2 linked regions of the Coturnix japonica genome follow. The protein of the gene in region 2 purifies or fractionates together with the protein of the main gene of each other region. This does not show direct contact. Links are inferred from orthologs where the notes say so. Each region holds a gene or a part of one and is shown on either strand. Other genes may lie near its edges.

Region 1 (3,814 bases), on a different chromosome or scaffold from region 2:
GTAATACAAACCAATACAAATATAAATATATACTGTGTGTATGTAAATAGTTATACACATGCAAAACTATGTATTTCTACATAGTTTCATGGAAATCTCTCTCTTACCTCTTTGTAGTAATTTTTCTGCCATTAACTATTTTAGTTGAGGTTGATACTGATTTGAAGTTTCCCATCCCACTACCACCAAATGACGTAGAGGAGAACGAAGCAATGCCTCCGTGTCCCAGCGAGCCAAATGAAGTAAAACCTATCGGGGAAAATGTTAACGTGACAATTATTTGACTAAAGACATAATTTTGCATGACTGTGATCTTCAAATTTATCAGCTAATCAGACCACCTCCTAGCTTTAGTTTTGTATTGCAAACATCCCAACTAATATTCAGTCTTAACACTTGAAACAATACTAACTACCATAAACTCTCAAAAAGCTCTGAGACACAGACCTCACCATTCAAATTAACTATTCCAGAACTCGTTCTAAATAGTACCACAAGTTTCAAAACACAATATTCCCAGGGTGCTTCCCAAAACTTAACACAGTCACACCAATGCTCAAGGACAAACAGAACCAAAACTATTCTCAAGCCATAAACAACTGCAACGTAGTCTTAGAGGTCTGTTCACTTTTTATCAACTTTCAAGTAGACCAAATACTATAACAAAGGTTTTATTTACATTCAGACTTTTTAGAAAGCAGACTAAATTCCCAGAATATCAGTCTCACAATTTCCTGAATGAAGGCAACTTTTAAAAGTATTTATCTGCTTACCACACTGAAATCCTTTGTGAGACAAAAGTATTCTTTGTTAAATGCTACACTATTTACCTGTGTCAAATGAAGGAAAAGCACTTCCAAAAGCAGGGAATCCACCAAAGGCATTGAAAAATGATCCGCCATCTCTGCTTCTGCTTCCCCTTGGACCCCGTCTGCGCCCAAAGAAGTCCTCAAAAGGATCTTCTACAAAACAAAAGACATTTAAAGAGGTTAATCTCACCTCACATATAGAATTACAATTCTAAGCAATTGATTTCCTTATCATTTTAGCCATTTAGTATTAAAACAACAGTAAACTTACTGTAATGTCTCAGCATAGTAAGAGTTATAACAGAAGTTTACTTATTTCAGATGCTCACACAGCATAATTGACTGGGTATCACGATAAAAGAACTGCAAATAAATACCAACTTGACTGTGTCCACTCAGTATTTGTCAGATTTAGAACTCATCAGATGCATTATCACGATCTCTACACAGCAGTAAGGAGTAACACTGTGGAAAAATTAAGATCTCAGAACTTAACAGTGTTTACAATATTGGACATAAATACTGCCCACAGCTTACTGCTGTTTCAGATCTATTGCATTCCACCACTATGGGGTCTCTGAAAAGTAACTTCCAAACGGTTTGTGTCAATAATAGAAATATAAAAAGCCCAATCAATGACTGAACAATAACTCAAATTTCAACTACTCTGTGTTTATTTTAGCCCTTGCCACATTAGGTACTTTAAACATTTATTCTGGTGCAGATTTAAGTAGTAAATTACAGGACACTGTGCACAAACTTATGAAGAGACGTTCAGACACCATCAAGCAGGAGAAAAAGGTGAAAAACAGAGAGTGTCGTGGAAAAAATTATGTCAAATTCACACACAACAGTTACGTCAGCAGCAGTTATCAATTCCATTCCCATTAGCAGAGCAATAGATTCTTTCTAAAGATAGATATTATATACATATAAAAAATGTCCACCTAACACATTTTTGTTTATGTATGATTTCATATATGTACATAAACACCTGTGCAAGAATATCCCTATTTACTTAGAAGCAATCAAGCTTTCCTAAAATACAGACATTACTGTGGCTATCTGAAAAGATTTTTACTAACGCTCTTCAAACAAAGAGCTTTAGATTTCAATCACGTAACACATACTCAACATATATATTTCTTATTTTAAACTCCAAAGTTCAAGAACTTCAACTCATCAAACAGGATGATTAACAGATTAACAGATAAAAGATTAGCCCACTCCTGGTATCAGCACAAAAGCCCAAGCTGGTGCATTCTACATCACCAAGTAAACTCACTGGTGACATCTCTAAAGCAATCAATCTGGTAATAAAAATTACTACTTAGCACACGTGATTCATTTACAGAAGAGTCACATTGTATTTAAGGCTGAACAAATAAAGCTCCTAAGGTCCAAAAACATATTTCCACTAGGGAAGATAGAAAATGCGAGGAACAACAAAAACAACCCTAGCTTACACAGTTATTAAATAGAAAAGGCAGGACCAAGCTTTTATCTTACCCACGCCACCAAGCAATGACTAAGTTTCCTTGTTTCCATGCTTTTTTGTTTTTGTGCTCCTGCGCTATTTTTTACCTCAAGATAATCTGTTATTATCTTTAAAACATTACAAACCAAACCAGTTCTTGGGCATAGCAACATGGGAACCTATAACTATGGTTAGCATTTCCCAAACAAGTACTGTAACCATTCTTTTTAAAGCTGCTTCCCCCCCACACCCTCTCCCCAAGATAGTTTATCAGCTGGTAAGTCAAACCAATGCAGTTAATTGTTTTGAAGCCTAATATATTCTTGCTTGGGTGACTCAGAAGTTAGTTATGAAGGTCATTCACTCACGTGTACAAATGATCTATATTATATTACTCTCACTGTTAAGCTTTCTATTAATAGCTCAATTTTTCCTGTTACCTGGAGTTTGAATAGAAACAAAACAACCTGCCATGTAAGCTCTGAGTATACGATCCCCCCACTCTATCAGCCTGTTCTACAGGGGACTCTCCCACAAAGCAGCAGCCAAAAATGACGGTTTTATGGGAGATCCCAGAATCCCCCAGAGATCCCCACTGTCAACACAGCTGTAAACGCATCACTGCCTACTCCTTGCCTAACCTACACTTGGGTGTGCTCTATTTCAGCCTTTGGCAACCCTACACACCAAAAAAACCTGAAGTCTTTACTCCACTTCCAGCCTCAGGTGATTCCAGATTGCAGTTCTGCTAATAAACCTCCCATGTTCTGCCAGTAATTCTCTCCAATAAATTACATGCTGAAACCTGATTGCAACTGATTGCTGAATCCTCAGCAAGAAAACTCACAAGGCAGGGACATGGGGAGCTTTTCCAAGGCAATATTCTCTCCTCATGGCTGCGCTGACAGCCATTCAAGTACAGTACAGAGAAAAAAATGCCAAAAAACACTGAGCAGTGATGGCAGCAGGAAGCTTCTGCACCATCATTTGTTGTATCCACCACCACATCCACACGCATAAAGCAACCCCACAACTGCTCAGGCACTGTTTATGATTTTAGGCTGTAAATCAGGATGATGAATAGTCCCACTCAGCACAATAATAACATCTCAGCCTGGCAGCTCTATTTTTATGATTTAGCACCACCTTTCAAATGCATGAGAACCTTTTCAAATAGACAGCTTCTCCAAAATGGTTCAAATGAAGCTAATAGCAAAATATTGGGGGGTTTTGTTTGAATGACTCCTCTTACAATAAGAATTTTGGTGTAATTTGTGCTACCACGAGTGAAGGCCCTTCCAAAAATGGAAAATACAATATACTGTGCAATTGATAAACATCATAAAGCCAAAATGCTGGACCTTAAGGTACTACTGGATATTGTTCACTTTAATCAGGTGAGTATCAGAAGCTTATGAGATGACAAACTATCAGATGCGGCACCAAAAGAAATGGTCAGCACACACCTGATGTCAAACTCATGGCATCATGAAAACAGCAAGGAGCACAGGGACTAAAAGGTGAGGGG
Region 2 (4,414 bases):
GGGGATGTTTGGGGCAGGAACCTACACAAATACCCATGGAACCGAGAGGGAATTATAAACACCAACTCAACGTCAATATGGCAAAACGACCTTTTGTTCTAGATGAATACGTTCAACAAAGCTCTGAAGTTTGAATCAGATTTAAATAGTCATATCACCAAAATGAATAAGAATTAAGAAGGTAAATTAATTCCTAAGGGAAATCACTGTAGATCTCATTAGCTCAGGAACAAGATACCTTAAAACTTTTAATTAAAGATAATATTTACCGCAAATGAATAAGAGTTGGCAGGTTTCAGCAGAAACCATAATCTCATTTATGCAAAGTTTTCTCGTATTAAGGCAGACATCATTAATCTCATTGGAGATGCCCTCCAGACTGACAGCGCTGCAGCACTGAGGTGATTTCTTACAGAAGTCTTTTTATCTACACAAAAGAAACGTAACTCGAGCAGACACAAACTGTACGAAGGCCTGAGCAATTAGAGGTATCAGTGTGCGAGCAGAGGACTGGCTGTGTGGTGGTAGTGAGCCCATAATGAGCTCGCCCCTAACAGGGCCCATCTCCCACCAGCAGCAGAGGAATTAGCAATAACTGGGACTCGTTTTGCTTGGTTACCTGCACTGTGATGGGGCTGCTCTGACTTGGGAAGGAGTCTGACCCCATAGGAATCTCAGTGAGAAACTGGGGGTGAAATGTGTGCGCTCAGCAGCTGCTGGAAGGCACCGAGCTGCCTTTGGCATCGCATGGAAGTAATAGGCTTGTTATTGCAAGGCAGAACTCATGCAAAGGCTACACTGTGTAACTGAGCTCAGAGTCTGCTCAGAAATAGCAATGAATAATGACAATATACATGTATTCGGTGAGGTTTGGGTGGCAGACTGCAAACAAGTTCACCATGAAGCCCATGCTGTGTATGGGAGCACAACAGGCCGCCCAGCAGGCAGTGCCGCCCCATCGTGCATTGAAGGCTGTGTGTGCCCCTCCTCAGGGCATGAAGGAGCCGCTCCGCCGGCCCTGTGTGGCGGTGAGGATCGCTTGGCAGGACGCCGGTATCGGCGGGGCTTTGTTTTGCTGCCATCTAGTGGGATAACACTGAATCCATCCCTACGCTCCGACCTGCCCCCCCCGCACCCCGCGCTCTTTATCCCCCCCGTCACATCCCGCCCTGAGGCGCCGCTCCGTGCGCGCTCCCGCCGCCCCCAGCCCCGAACTTTCTGCAGCGGGAGCGCGCGCGGCCATCGGTTACCACGGCAGCGGGTAGCCCCGCCCCTATGCCCCATAGCGACCAATAGCGGCGCTGGGACGCGTCACGTGGGCGAGCGGGCGCCGCCGTGAGGGGCCGTGGGGGCGGTGGGCGCTCAGTGCGCGCGGGGCCGCAGCCATGTTCGGGGCCATGGGCCGGTGGTTCGAGGACGATCCGTTCTTCCGGTGAGAGCGGGGTGTTGGACTCAGGGGGGGCGAGATTCAATTCTACACACGCGGTGGGGGGGTGAGGGTCGCGATGTGGGGGACGGACGGGGCGCACGGAGCGCGGTTGGCGGCGGTGGGGGGTTAAAGGCCGAGCCGGGCCTAATAGTGACCTGCATCCGTGAGGAGCTGCGTGGTAATGACACAGTGACACAGTGACACAGTGACAGCGCTGAGCGAACGGCGGGTCCTGGGCTCTGAATGGGGGGTTATTGTGATCAAAAGTGTTGGTGTTTGAGCCTGGAACCTGAAAATGGGATGGAAATGGGGTGAAAATGGGACGTGAGAACGCAAAGGAGCATAAATTATTATATATATGTATATATAAAGCCATTTTAGTGTAGGATGTTTGCTCTCTATAACTTCATGAAGGGGGGTTGTAGTGAGCTGGGGCTTGGACTTTTCTCTCGTGTATTCAGTGATAGAACTAGAGGGAATGGTTTTAAGCTGCGCCAGGGGAGATTCAGGCTGCACATTAGGAAATATTACTTCTCAGAAAGGGTAGTCAGGCATTGGAATGCACTGCACAGGGAGCTGGTGGAGTCACTGACCATGGGAGTGATCAAGAAATGTTTGGATGTTGTGTTGATGAATATGATTTAGCTGGGAAGTATTGGTGATGGTTGGACTAGATGATCTTCTAGGTCTTTTCCAACCTTGATAATTCTGTGATATTGAGCTTAATCGCTAGCACAGCTCAGGGTGTAGGGCTGGGTGGACGAGGCAGGGTAACACTGGGCCCTGTGGTGTGGGTTTGTTGACTGCATCCCATAGTGACGGGCTGTCCGAGCTCAGGCTGTGCCCCTTAAAGGGAACCTCAGCTGCAGCAGCGCCTTCCTGGCACTGGGAAGGAGGTTGGGACAGTCACAGCAGCTCAGACCTCATGGACAGGATACTAAAGGCCACACAGTGCTCTGATTGAATGGGAATAACGATGGAAATTGTCTCATATGTAGTAATTTGCAACGTGCTTTTGTGATCCTCTGAAACGGCAATTGCCTTCTGGTTTATTCAGTTCAGTTGCTTTGTTGTAGTTTTCAACGTCCTGATGAGGGTTAAAATTGGAGGAAAGTAGCTGGCAGGAGACAGAGGGAGTGTGTGAAAGAGATAAGAGCTTGATAGTGAGATTCATTTCCTTGGCACCATCCACATCGATCTGCTTTACATATAGTTAAGGAAATGAGTTTATTACCTCAGATAAGAAGAGCCTCCAAGGTAGTGCAATAAGAGGCTTCAGCTGCCTCACAAGGAGAGGTTTTGACTGCTGGTCTGGAAATAGTGTCTGAGAGGGAACGTCTCCATCTGTCCTGGAAGTGGCCAGCAGGGCTGTGCCTGATGGCTCAGACAGGTGCAGGAGCTGCAGCCCTCCTGCCAAGTGGGTTTAAGTGTGTTTAACTTAGTGCGCAGCCTTTGTCTTATTGCTCAAGGTCTTCTCTTCAGGCTGCTTCTGCAACTTCATTTATGGTGCTTAACATGTGAAGGGCACAGATTCAATGTGTGAAATCCTTACAAAACGAACTGCTTTTTCCACCATCACTTCTGTAGCAGAACTGTGCAGAAGTTGTGTCAGTCTCATCAGGAGTTTATTGTCTTTCTCCTTGAAGAGTTCAGTTTGAATACCAGGTGGCCAGTAGTAACTAAACGAAGTTACTCTGTACCTGTTGCTGTTGTAGAGCGTGATTGGAACGAAGGACTGAAGGTCTTGTATCCTCTGGTAGAGTTATTTAATCCTTTTAGATGCTTTATCTTGCAGTGATTCCCTGCTGACTTAGCATTGGTTTTGCCCAACTTCTGTACGCTCAGGAGCAGCGCTGCTGCTTTGGAAGCCTGACAACACTCAGCCTCCTTACAGCTGCTTCCACAACATCCCTGGGGAGGTGGGAGCTCAGTTGCTGCACAGTTTGTATCCTCCTTCCTTGCCCATGGCAGTAAGGAGCTGTGCTTCTAAATTGTTTCATAGGATTTGCTTTGAAAGGTCCAAAAAACAAAAGCAAAAATCCCCAAGTTTGGATGCGTTTATGAGCGTAGCAATGCTTGTAGTAGAAGGTGAGTGGCCAAGAGGCCAGAGAATGTGAAGCAGGACAAAATGAATTTCATCAGGCCTGAAGTGTGGCTGTGTTAGGGGTCATATTGTGTGTGTTATGTACACTAAAAGCAACAGAGGTGTGTTTCGTTTTTTAATCTAAACGAAGCCCATGGATCTTGTTTTGCTTGTGTTAGAAGTAATTGTGTGACCTGCTTCTGAACTGGGAGAGGCTGGGGAGAAATCTTACACTTGTTGGAATACAGTTCATCCATCTTTGTCCTGGTAACCACACCAACCTGAACTTTGTGGTGTTGAGATTGTGTGGAAATATGCCCACGTTGTGATAGGGCCTGCGTGCTTCCCTCACCTTGGCCTGCACAGTGACTTGTTTGCATCTGTTCTTCATCCTGTATGTGAGCTGCTTATCGCCTTGGGATTGAAGTTAAAGCTGGCAGTCATGTGAGTGGGGTAGATTAGGGTCTACTTACAGCAGTGGAAAAACTGCTCCTGTGGAGCTGTAACGGTCTGTCTGCACTGCAGTGAACTAAATGCACAGCTTAAAGGGATAGTGTTGCATTAAGAGTCTTGTTTGCAAATGTATTAGCTTTGCATTTCTAATTGAATCTCTTAAAAAGAAAAATTCAATTAGATGCTGCTTTGTACTAAGAGTCTGTAGAGGGCAAAGAGTTGCCAGGCAGTGATGTGTGTGGGATGGGAGGTGCGGGGTGGGCAGCAGGAAGGCAGCTTCAGGTGCTGATAGGGACTGAAGAGTTGGAGGAACAGCCTGGGACCTCCTCCAGCCTCCTCCTTCATGGAGGCAGCGATGTCACAGCAAAGTCCTGGGGAGAAGGAGGGCGAGAGACAGCTGGGAAACACCAGGAAATTGGTAGGAAGGGAGATGAGGTGCTACAAAGTCT

What was found.
Region 1: the proteins of MLF1 (region 2) and DNAJB6 purify together in Homo sapiens (affinity purification with mass spectrometry; 3 studies listed by BioGRID and IntAct, counting the BioPlex papers as one, with this or other methods). This does not show direct contact. The link is inferred for Coturnix japonica from reciprocal best matches to the Homo sapiens genes MLF1 and DNAJB6.

The regions. Positions count from the first base shown.
Region 1 is NC_029517.1:7,734,960-7,738,773, reverse strand, and holds part of DNAJB6 (dnaJ homolog subfamily B member 6), read right to left. Parts: intron 963-3,814; coding exon 831-962; intron 250-830; coding exon 108-249; intron 1-107. UniProt on the Homo sapiens protein: Has a stimulatory effect on the ATPase activity of HSP70 in a dose-dependent and time-dependent manner and hence acts as a co-chaperone of HSP70. Plays an indispensable role in the organization of KRT8/KRT18 filaments.
Region 2 is NC_029524.1:19,969,154-19,973,567, reverse strand, and holds the start of MLF1 (myeloid leukemia factor 1), read left to right. Parts: upstream 1-1,301; 5' UTR 1,302-1,385; coding exon 1,386-1,432; intron 1,433-4,414. UniProt on the Homo sapiens protein: Involved in lineage commitment of primary hemopoietic progenitors by restricting erythroid formation and enhancing myeloid formation.